Drosophila melanogaster: one gene and its partners. The protein of the gene in region 1 interacts with the protein of each later gene in a pairwise test. Each region holds a gene or a part of one and is shown in the gene's direction. Other genes may lie near its edges. The genes, in order: CG9948, CG10949 and CG14110.

Region 1 (3,689 bases):
TTAGGCGACCTGGTGTGGCAATTACAATCTCCACGCCGCGCTCCAAATCCCTAGCCTGCTGTCCCTTGGGCGCTCCACCAAAGATGCAAGTGTTGCGCACATGCGTGTTGCTGCCAAACTCAATGGCTACCTGCTGGATCTGCTGGGCCAACTCTCTAGTGGGAGCCAGGACCAGGGCGATGGGTCCATCACCGCGCTCCAGGCGCGGCTGGTTATTGATGTGCACCACCGCCGGCAGAACATACGCCAAGGTCTTGCCCGATCCGGTCTGGGCCACGCCCACCAGATCCCGTCCACTCATAGCAATGGGCCAACCCTGGGCTTGAATGGCCGTTGGCTTGGCGAAACCCTGCTTACGGATCTCGTTCATCACGTAATCGGGAAAGCCGCCCTCCTCGAATTCAATACTGGGTGTGGGCACCTGATCGCCCTTGATGGTGATCTCATTGCTGGTGAGGAAGGTCTCTGTTTCACCGACAGTCCTGGCCAGCACCGAATCGCACGGCTTGTAAAAGTTCTTGCGGAATGGCGTAAGATTCACCTCAGACCAAACGATCTTGGGCAAGTGAGCGCCATGATTGGAAGAGCGCTGGCCCCCGTTCTGACCACCGAATCCATCCTGGTTGCGTGGTCCGCCGGGTCCCATGCTAGGACCACCACCGTTCATGCGTCGCTGTCCACCGTTGGCGGGTCCATGACCATTGAAACCTGGGTATGGGGCCGAGCGATTGCGCTGGAACATGCCCGCTCCGCCGGGTCCGCCACCGGGAGCACCACCGCCCATGCGATTGGGCACCATACCGCCGGCTAGGCCACCAGCTCCTCCGCCGCCACCGCCTCCGAAGGCGTTCATCTGTCCGTTGTACCTGCGACGAGCGTTTTGTGCCATAAAATTAGAATTTTGAGCCCTTTAATGCGTTGCCAAAATGTTGAAATTTACACGAAGCGACCTTTTTTTATGTAATTTTCATTTTTTACTGCCATTTTGAATTTATTGATTTTCGACACTCGGCCCCTGGCCGCATGCTAAACCGAAATTTGGGCTTAAAAAATGTGTGCCTGTGTTTCAATACTCACATGTTCATTGCTGGTGTGATGTAAGTGGAAATATAGCTGGCCAAAGTATAGTTTTTTCGGTCACTTTTACAATTTTTCACTCCACAATTTTTTCAGCTTCTACGTCGTCAATAGAGCTGTGGAAAAAATCGGTGTTAATATCGATTGGTTCGATAGGTTAGGTTTTCTGGAAACATCGATTGAATTTTCTAGAAACGATCACAACGAATAGGGAAAAATGTCAAAATATTTGTTAGTAGGAAACTTTTAATATATAAATAATTATTGTGAACGTTTCTAATAATAACAAATTAAATAAAAATAATAACTGAAAAGAATATGGAACACTATTAAGAGCACTTTAGAGCACTATGGTTGCTAGTTTGTAGTTACTTCGTTGTCTAACCAGTATTTTTTTAATGCGGCACCGGTAATTAACAATAAGAACTATTAATTTTTTAAGCAAAACAAAGACGTCTGATATTGTTTGTCTGGAACCTATCGGGTAAAGCAACTTCGATAATAATGGTCAGCAAGAAAAATGTGACCAGCCTATAGAACGACCCAAAAACCAAAGTGTGGACATAAATTGGAATATTACAGTGATCGCTCAATGTAGTTAACCTGTAAATTTCTATCTGTAAAGTAATAACTAATAAACAAGGTTCTAATAATGCAGTTAAAATATAATTTATTATTATGTAATTTCCCTTCATTTGTTAAGTATCTTAAGCCCGCAATTATGACATACAATACGTGCCAAATGGTTTTCGCTTAATCGTAGCTCTGCTGTACTTCATAAGGTAAATAAACATGGCTCAAGCAAGGGATTCTTAATTATCAAGTTCAAGCTAGTTTAATTCAATTTGGTAGCCATGCGCACCAGTTACAAGAAAAACAGACCTTTCGACTTCAAGCTAATTGATCTGGTGGAACCCAATCCTGTGCTCTATAAGAGATCTGGACTCTCGAACTACGATGCCATGAAGGCGAAAACCGATATCTGGGCTCGCATAGCCGAGATGATGGGCTGTGATGGTAAGTCAGCTAATAAAAGAATAAGATATATATATTTAAAGTTATAATCCTCTTAGTGGACTTCTGCCTGATGCGCTGGAACAATCTGCACTATCAGTTTCGCAAGGAGTTTCGCCGCGCGGACACCAGTGGATCCACCTGGCCGTACCTGGAACGCCTGCGATTTTTGGCCGAGATCCAGCCGCCCTCCAAAGTGAAAACCAAACCCAAAACAAACAAACAGGAGGCGACCATCCAGACGGAAACTCCTGTGCAATTTTTGTGGGACACTTTTGAGGATGGGGATGTTCCACAGCAGTCGAGTACGTTCATAATCGAGGAGGTCATCGAGGAGCCCAGTGAACAGATCATCCAAGAGGAAATCATCTACGAGGAACAAGAGCCCGCTGAAATAATCTCGCCCAGAAGCAGCTTTCTCCAGATGGACCAAATACTGGCCCAACTAAAGGAACCGCAGCGGAGAAGGGCAGAACGAAGGATTACAGCATTTCTGCTCAAGTGCCAGCTGCGTGCCTTGAGTAATCAGTCCGTGGAGGACCTTAGCATCTAGTTTCCAGTTCACATACTCTCAAACTTTATTTTTAAAAAACAGAATATAACTAAGATTAAACCTTGCACTTGTCCAATTCCAACCATGCCACTTTCGGCTTGACAATGAACTGATCGCGCGGCAAACTGTCCAGCATGCTGGCCTGCTGGCGGACGTACTTCACCAGTCGCTCGATCTGCGCGTAATCATCACAGTTCATCTCGAAGAAGCGGCGCCACAAGGCGCAGGCCAAAACCCGATCGTCGGACATGATGCCCTCGTCGTAGGCGATTAGGGCCGCTTGGAACTGCTCGGATAAGGTCTCGATTTGCTGACGGGTGCGTGAAGGATTGTGAGCCTGTTGGGAAACACATATGAAGAGCATAAAGATTATATATATAAAGGTGAACTAAAGTAAAACCTACTCCCAATTTCTTGGCGCGTGTGTTAACATCTCCCCACATCGCCTCCACAATGCAGTTGCGCAGGAAGCGTCCATCCTCGCCCGTTTCGGAGCCCTCGGCCATGGAGCGCATCAGGAGTAGCCAAACATGCAGTTCGGTGACCAAGAACCAGGAGTTAAAGGTATTGGGCAGATTGAAGTCGCGGAAAAAGGTCACATAGTTGATCTTGTCGGCGACGCTTTCGTACAGCAGATGACTGGTTACCTTGAGGCGCTGAAATGGGATCACTTCGATGAATATTAATCAAATGGGCAAAGTAATCCGAGTCCTACCGCCTTTGTGTTCGGTGTGAAGCCCACTTTGTTGAGCACTCTCTTCAGAATACCGCCTTCTGCGGCTTCCGCTGTGCCGGGTTTCGTTTTATTGGTATTATCCACAACGCCGGTGGATGAACACAAGCGGCATGGCTGCTCCAGCAGTCCCAGTATCGCTGGCCTGTGCTTATACGTATGTTGTGTTGCCTATAATATGTTTAATTTAAAAATTTTATATCCGTTTATATAAGAGTTGATGGCGGTGCATTCGGATGACCGTGTTTTGACTAAATAAAGTACAACCCCTGCTTTAAACATACCCATGCGGTTCTCGCTAGGCCGCCGGCC
Region 2 (4,208 bases), on another chromosome or scaffold:
AGAATATTACAAAAGTTGAACATTTTATGGCAAATGTACACGAACACAAGTCATCTGTTATAATATGATTGATTATTCAGGATGCCGTTCGTCTTTCTAGTTAATGTTGGAGCTTTTGAGACACAGATCAAATATTGTTTTTGAAGAATGCCACTTTGGCTCCAAAGCCTAAAATTTGCAATAATGTACACGAAAGTATTTATCTTAAGAAACAAAAAGAATTACTCAAGATGATTTAAGCGTTACAATTTATATCGGAGCGTTGTAGACACGGAAAATGGAGAATCTTTAGCATGTAAACTTTGTCTCCCAAGAATACAGATAATAGGGGAGTAATATTGAAACTATTAGTTTTTATGTACACGAACACAAGTCATCTGCTATAATATGATTGATTATTCAGGATGCCGTTCGTCCTTTTGGTTTATTTTGGAACATTTGAGACACAACAGGAGATTTTTTCCAAGTATGCCACTTTTGTTCCACAATTTATAACTTTTATTGCCTTAATTTCAGGCATTACACTGCAATCTTATCGGGAATAAACTAATGGCATCATAACTATTAGCATTTAAATACATTTATTTATGTGAGATCTTAATCATTCGCTACCAAACACAAATACCTCTTTCTGCTGATAGTGCTGTTAGTACAATAAGTTATTTTACTAATTTTAATAATTTTGTTAGTCTGTAAGCTTCGTCTAAGCTTCTTCTAAACCGTTTAGCTTAAACATATTTCTTTCGTAACACGACTCCTTTGATAATGTTTCTTCAATAATAATATCCTTTTTCGGGATTAGGAACAAATAAATACTAATATTTTCGATCATCACAAGCGTATGCGTTTGAATGCACGTCAATGGATGAGTCAGTTTTGCAGATTTTCAGCACCGATGATGCGAATAGCGAGTTGTAATGAATTAACTAATACGCTGTCGACGTAAGGGGGCTGCACTGTACTTGGGTACGTGTGTGGGAGGGAGAGAGCTGCAGCGATGAGTGTTCCAAGGCTGGAACTACACCCAAATTTATTCCCGAGGAAAGAGAGAGCTAACGAAATTGATAACAAAGCCGACTGGTGATAACAGAACGGTGGGGAATGCAGCATAGAAATCAAAATGGTGGAATGGAAATTGGGGAAACGGGACTGGAAGGCATTGACTTACCCAGCCTGGGCATTACGGTATTTGACCAGCAGCGTCTCCTCGATAATCCGATTATTGATTTCCAGCAGGATCATGGCGGTTGAAGTTAACTGTTATTTTTAGTGTGCCAATTTCGATGACAAATTATATGACGTTGACTGCCGCTAATGGTGCTGCTGCTCGCTGCTTCTTCTTCTGCCGCTCCCTGCGCTCTTTCTGCGCTCCGTTGAGTGCGAGTAAGACGGTGCGCTGCTCCAACTCACCAATACTGGTGCATGACGGGCGTATTAATGAATCAACAACAAAAAATGGGCGCTGATGTCGGCTTTTTTGGTCCGTCACACACACATGGACGCACTCTCGCCACACACACGGGCGAATTCCAATGCTCACACACACAGTTGCAAGAAAATCCACCTTATCCTCTTTTCGCGCCTCCAATTTCCAATCGCCAGTACTTGCAGCGCGCACGATGCAGTGCAAAATCGGTCTCAGACCGTAATACTTATAAAATTATAACAAAACGTGGATGGAAAACGGGGAGCACGCTGCCGTATTTTCCTTGCTCACAGCGTTGCCAGGTAGCACAATAGAGATGGGGCAAACTCACCGATGGAAAGATTGAAGTATCGAGCTATCGACCATCAATGTTATCAGGTTACACAGAAATTCAAACCAGCAGATTTTAACAAACATAAAGAGAATTTTCTTTAAAATATATAAAATAGAATATATTTTAAACGAAATTCGTACACACGAACTTTAAATTATAAATATGTATTAAGACATTTTAAGACAAACACACAAATATTTTATTTAACATTGTTATAATAACGGTGCTATAAAACTAAGAGGCACATTTTTTTAACAGAATAATCTGGCAGCCCTTTTTGTGCGATGACCCATCGCCTATCGACTATCAATATTTCCCGCCAGGCTGCCGGATCGTTCAGAATAAATAAAAACAAATAATAGCGAAAATCAATGGACGACGATGAGCTGATTAAATTGATAGAGAGACACCCGATCCTGTACGACAAGGACTGCGCGAGGAGCGTGAAGAATGCGGCGCAAAAGGACGCGGCCTGGAAGGCCATCTCCCAGAAGTTAGGAGCCTCGGAACGGGCGTGCATTACGCGCTGGAAGAGCATTCGCGATCGTTTCGGCAAGGAGTTTCGCCGTTTCCAGGAGCGTCCGGATGAGCCCACCTACTGGGACATGTTTCCGCGACTGCTCTTTCTCAAGGATCACTACAAACAGGGACTGGCAAGGAACGAGAGTCTCGACGGGATGCGTTTTGAGCCCAGGGAGCGGAAAAAGCGCACAAAAGTGGACATGGAGCAGGAGAGGCGGAGAAAGGACGAGGAGGAGGAGGACTCCCAGGATGACCTGCTGAACGAGCAGCTCATTGAGCTGGTCAAGTCTCATCCCGTGCTGTATGATCGTCACAAGATCAGAGTCTCCAAGAACCTAGCAGCGAAAAACGAAGCCTGGCGAGAGATTTCTGAAAACCTAAATGTGTCGGGTGAGCTCGGGGTAACCCTCTTGATCTTCAGCCCTTAATGCCGATAATTTTCAATAGAGGAACTTTGCTACAACCGCTGGAAGAAGCTGCGTGATCGTTTCGGGCGGGAGTTCCGCAGTCATCAGATCAACCAGTCCACGCCCATCACGTGGAGGTACTTTAACGACCTTCTCTTTCTGGGCCGCCACTTCCGCAAAGGAGTGCCCCTGGTTTTGGAGAACATCAAGCGACGTGGACGACCACCCAAAGCAGGAAATCCTTCGGGAAAGACCAGCAAACAGCCGGAGGGAATGGTGATCTCCAGTGGTGAGCAAATCTGGGGCGCTGATTACCCCTACAGTACGGACAACGACGATCTGGAGGATGATCTTGAGTTGGCCTACGATGAAGAGATTGAGATACTATCGGAGGCGGAGCAAGCAACGCCGTACGATTTTATCCTCAGCGAAGCGACGGCACGGCAGGACTTGGAGCCACCACAGCAGCTCCAGGTGACCACCACCACGCCGGCCACCAGTGAGGAAATAATTCACACAATCGCCAGGGTAAATCCCGTCGTAGAGGAGTCCTCCTCTCTCCCTGGGGACTCTGTACCGTCTGCCGCCATCTCCGACAAACTGTTGACCACCGTGATTGCCAACATGGAGACCGTGCTTCAGCAATCCCGGGAGCTGCAGGCCCAGATTCACCACGAACAGGAGCAGGAGCGAGAACAGCGAAGTACACAGCCTGCCAACAGCCTGCTTGCCAAGGCTCAGATGCTGCTGGACGGACTGAGTCCGTCTGAGCGGGCAAGTGCCGAGCGTAAGATCGTGCAGTTCCTGTGCCAGTGCCAAATCAAAGCCCTCGATGGCGAGGAGATCGAGGATGTGGCACCTTGTCAGGTCATTAACTGAAATTAGAATGTTGTAGATTAGCTGCAAAAGTATTACGAAGAAGGGTTATTACATAAGTGTAAGCATGAAAATATCTGTAAATAAATAAACTTACTAAATATTGTGGCTCAAAAGGCAATATTGAAAAAGAAAGGTTTGAATATTTGTAGATTTCAAATTGAGTTGTTTAAATTACCAGTGCTGAAAAGCATTGAAATGCGTAACCACAACCATCGCCATCAAACGCTACCCGCCACCAGAGGGCGCTGAATTATTCAAATATTTCGGTTACGCGAAAATTAGAAACAAACATTTCATACCGACCAAAAACAAAAAACAGAAATAAATAAAAGCGCCCACGCCGACACCATTTATTGCAATTAATAACGAACAAATTCGCGCGTACGCAGCAGATGGATAAACAAATCGCTTGGCGTGCACTTGGCTCTTGGGAAGCGCGAGTGCCAACAGATTCTCGATTCGCTTAGTTGCCGCCTCCGGTTCGCACGGTGCAGTTGGTCGGGACCCAGAGATACCGATCCAAATCCCATTCTCATGCGAGCAGGAATCCCTAGTTGTGCGTCAAAGAGCGCCGCCTGAACTCTGAAATTATTATTAAGATAATAAACGCGAGCGCCTGCTAAGTGCCTGCGAATGGTTC
Region 3 (3,612 bases), 6.4 Mb from region 1:
TCGCATATCGAAGCTGACCAGTTCTGGAAGTCCCATAATTAACTGGTATGCGCCCATTTCCTTTTTAGCAGTAGCAGCTCTGCTGCTTTTGGAGGCGATTCCCGCGGATGCAAAGCGGCGCAAGCACAAGGGCTCCGATCATCACTATGAAAAGTCTGATCCCCACAAGACCAAGACAAAGACCAAGTGGTCTAGCTCCACGGATTTGGCTGGAAACACTCCAATTTCCACCGAAGAGCACGGCTACTATGTAAAGCGCACCTTTGCGGCTCCCGGTGAGATTGGAGCCGCACAGAAGCGTCTAAGTCCCCCCTATTTGGCCATTCCCATCGCCTGGTTCAGCTGTGAGTCGGGCCAGAAGAATTGCCAGTCTTCCAATTCCGCGGCTATCAACAGTGCCGCGCAGTCCTTGAGCGAGGGCTATCTGTGCGACGATGATTGCGATGAACTGTACGAGCCCATCTGCGGCAGGACCACCTCAGAGGTGGCCGTTTTCTACAACAAGTGCAAGTTGGGTGTAGCCAAGTGCCGATCCCACGGTCTTTGGACGGACTTCGCCTATGCCGAGTGCCAGGCGAAATATCCGCAGGAAACTGCCTATGCCGACAAGAAGTTCCGGTCATCGCCTTATTTCCGGGATGCGGCCATCGTGGAGCAATTGAAGCTGGAGGAGGAGAAGCGTAAGCAGGAGGAGGAACAACACAAGCTGGAGAAGGAGCAAAAGAAGAAGGAGAAGGCTGAGAAAAATAAGAACGAGAAGGACAGCAGCGAAAGCAGCGAGGAGAAGGATGACCAAAAGGAAAACAAGCAGAAGGATCCCCTTTCCCTAATGCCACAGAAGAAAGTGGAATCCACCCAGAAGCCAGTGCCAGTTCCTATTCAAGTAGCAGTTCCAAAACCAGTTTCAGTTTTGGAGCCTGCAAAGACGACCGAGGACATCGCTATGCCGCCTATGCCACTGAAGGACACTCCCACGCCCAAACCTCTGGAGATCGCGCCCCTTCACCAGCAGACCCAACCCAAGGGCAAGGACATTGATAGGCTCAAGTACCAAGTAGCTTAGAAAGCAATGGCTACACAAATCTCACCTAATTATAGTATTTATTTAATTTATTACAACAAATAAAATTCTAAACAACGATAATCATCTATATTTGATAAACAAAATGGGTTTTTTTTAAATACACGCTTTGTAGTTTAAACGTGTATTGGACTACAATTTTTATGGCTAACTTTAATGGTAACCCGACTTTTATATTGTCATAAAAATAAAAATCATAAGATCTGCTTAGCACTTTTATGTAGATATTTTATATGGGATCGAAACGCACTTTTATTTTCCCAAAGTCAGTAAGAGTGTCTTCTTAGTTCTTATGACTCCAGACCAGTTACACTATTTTTCAGATCCCTTGAGCATTTAATTACTGAAATAGGTGCATTGTACATTTACATAGCTATATCTTTGGAAAGACATTAATCGGGATCCAACATTTCTGTGACAAACTAGTATAACTCGAAGCAGATTTAGTAGCAAGGGGAAAGGTGTGTGCAAAATTTGTAATGGGAATGAATACACCTATGATTCTTAACGAACTCATTCTTGATAATTCTTTATGGCCTCTAAAGAACTTTGTGTGTTAAAGTAACGGGTATAACAACTTCAACTTTACATATATATCTTTCAATCAGATAATTTTCAAAACTTTCTTAGAGGCAAATTCACCTCTTTGTAATTAAATTGAGAAGAATTCTAAGGCGATGCAGTTGCATTGAATCAAGTGCATTGACCCCCAAAACAAGTTCTATAAACTGATTGATATCTGAAGCTTGAAAGGGCCATCATCCATTGCCAGGCACTAAACCTAAAAACTAATTGGGCGTGGGATGGACAATGCAACAGGTTGCGGCTGGGTTGCCTATAAAAGCAGCGGGATTTGTGTCACTTGTCACAGAAGTTGACCAACTGCAATGGGAGCCACTAGTGTCGGAGTTCCAGTCTGGAAGATTCAGCTACTGATTCTGCTGAGTGCAGGTGAGAATATTCTAAAAGTTGTAGCTTGTGGTATTTAGTTTTCCTCTCCTAGTTGTTCTCACCATTCAAGCTGCTCCTGTCGAGGTAACCGAAGGAGTGACCCAACCCCCAGCCGAGAAGCTGCAAACGGAGTCTCGTTCCCGTAAAGATGAAGAGCTGGAACTAGAAGAAGACCTGGATGGACGTAATGCCTATATCAACAATCAGTTTGTGCCAAGCGAACCTGCAGAAGTCCTAGAGGATGTGCAGAATACGCCGCTCTACGAGATCCTTCAAAAGCAGATGGAACAAGTGTTGGCCTCATCGGCTCCCAATGACCCTGTCTACGAGCAGCACCGCGAGAAGCAGGATCGTCGCGATCAGAAACCACCACACCAGCCACCGTACTTCTCCGGCGGAGATCGAGATGGTGATCTACAGGATGACTACGAGGACGAGGAGGATCAGACGGATCAGGGTTATCCGTCGGACCCCGAGAAACCGGACGCCGTGTCAGATGCTCCCGAGGATGAGGACCCAGGCTACCAGGCACCTTCGTTGAGCCTTCCAACCACCACCACTCGCAAACCGTACAGACGACGCAGCACAACCACTTTTCAGCCACGAACCACCAGGACAAGAACCACTGCTCAGCCCAGGATCTCGGAAAGTCCATTGAACCAAACCAGCACCACAGAGCAATCACCAAATGTGACCACCAGCACTCCACGGCCCAAGATTGGTTCCAGCACCAAACCCAAGGCAAATCCTCAGCCGGGAAACAGCCTGCCAAGTGACCCGCAGGTTTACCAGCACAAGCGTCGCATCATCTTCAAGACCATCTCAACGGGCTCGCAATTCGTCAACTCGCCAATTGGCGACCTAATGATCAAGTTCTCAATCGGATTTGCCAAGCCAACCACTCCGGGTGGAGCTACCAGCACTGCGGGTTCACATAGTTCGTCCAGTGAGGCTTTACGTGCTCTTTCGCAAAACTTAATTCGAAATTTTGAACTTCAAAAACTAAGAAGAGCCAATAAAGTGCAAAAATATTAGATATACATTATTAACGAAAACAAAACCACGGGTTTTCAATTGGATTCATGTTTTAATGTACTAACAACAATGGATTCGAAGACTTTATGAGTAGTAGCTATATTTCGAACAAAAGATATTTTTAAAACCCTCAGTTGAAGAACTTAATTCTATTCTATTACCTCAAATTCAAAAATTTCGAATTGTGTTATAGAAATTTCATGAATATTTTAATCACCACAACAGCAATTGCTTGTGCAATAAGCAAAACATTCGATTTGGAGCGAGGTCTGCTAAAATTATTCCAGCGGGAACCAATCATTGATCTCCAAATTGTTGAAAACAACTTGAGATGACGCCATAAGAATATACATAACCAAATCAGAAAATGTATTCCGTCACGTACGAGAATTTCGAGACAATGACAATAGATCCACATGTACGGTTCGTGTTTAGTAGAGTTAATACACAAAATGGAGGTGAACAGTCACAGTAACAACAACGTCATAATCCGTAAAGGAACATGGTTAGCTACCTTAGAGTAAATATAATCTAACTGCCTTGGC

Evidence for each region.
Region 2: the proteins of CG9948 (region 1) and CG10949 interact in a two-hybrid assay, tested with the Drosophila melanogaster proteins (one large-scale study listed by BioGRID).
Region 3: the proteins of CG9948 (region 1) and CG14110 interact in a two-hybrid assay, tested with the Drosophila melanogaster proteins (one large-scale study listed by BioGRID).

The regions. Positions count from the first base shown.
Region 1 is NT_037436.4:6,954,304-6,957,992, forward strand, and holds CG9948 (uncharacterized protein), read left to right. Parts: upstream 1-1,687; 5' UTR 1,688-1,931; coding exon 1,932-2,094; intron 2,095-2,150; coding exon 2,151-2,644; 3' UTR 2,645-2,699; coding exon of another isoform or gene 2,700-2,981; 3' UTR 2,982-3,048; downstream 3,049-3,689. Other genes in the region: CG10077 (uncharacterized protein), read right to left, coding at 1-866, 1,078-1,085; Uqcc1 (Ubiquinol-cytochrome c reductase complex assembly factor 1), read right to left, coding at 2,700-2,981, 3,049-3,300, 3,360-3,548, 3,662-3,689.
Region 2 is NT_033779.5:20,414,628-20,418,835, reverse strand, and holds CG10949 (uncharacterized protein), read left to right. Parts: upstream 1-1,917; 5' UTR 1,918-2,131; coding exon 2,132-2,672; intron 2,673-2,729; coding exon 2,730-3,568; 3' UTR 3,569-3,663; downstream 3,664-4,208. Other genes in the region: Arpc2 (Actin-related protein 2/3 complex, subunit 2), read right to left, coding at 1,169-1,242.
Region 3 is NT_037436.4:13,382,843-13,386,454, forward strand, and holds CG14110 (uncharacterized protein), read left to right. Parts: upstream 1-1,946; 5' UTR 1,947-1,968; coding exon 1,969-2,032; intron 2,033-2,084; coding exon 2,085-3,067; 3' UTR 3,068-3,083; downstream 3,084-3,612. Other genes in the region: ImpL1 (Ecdysone-inducible gene L1), read left to right, coding at 1-1,063.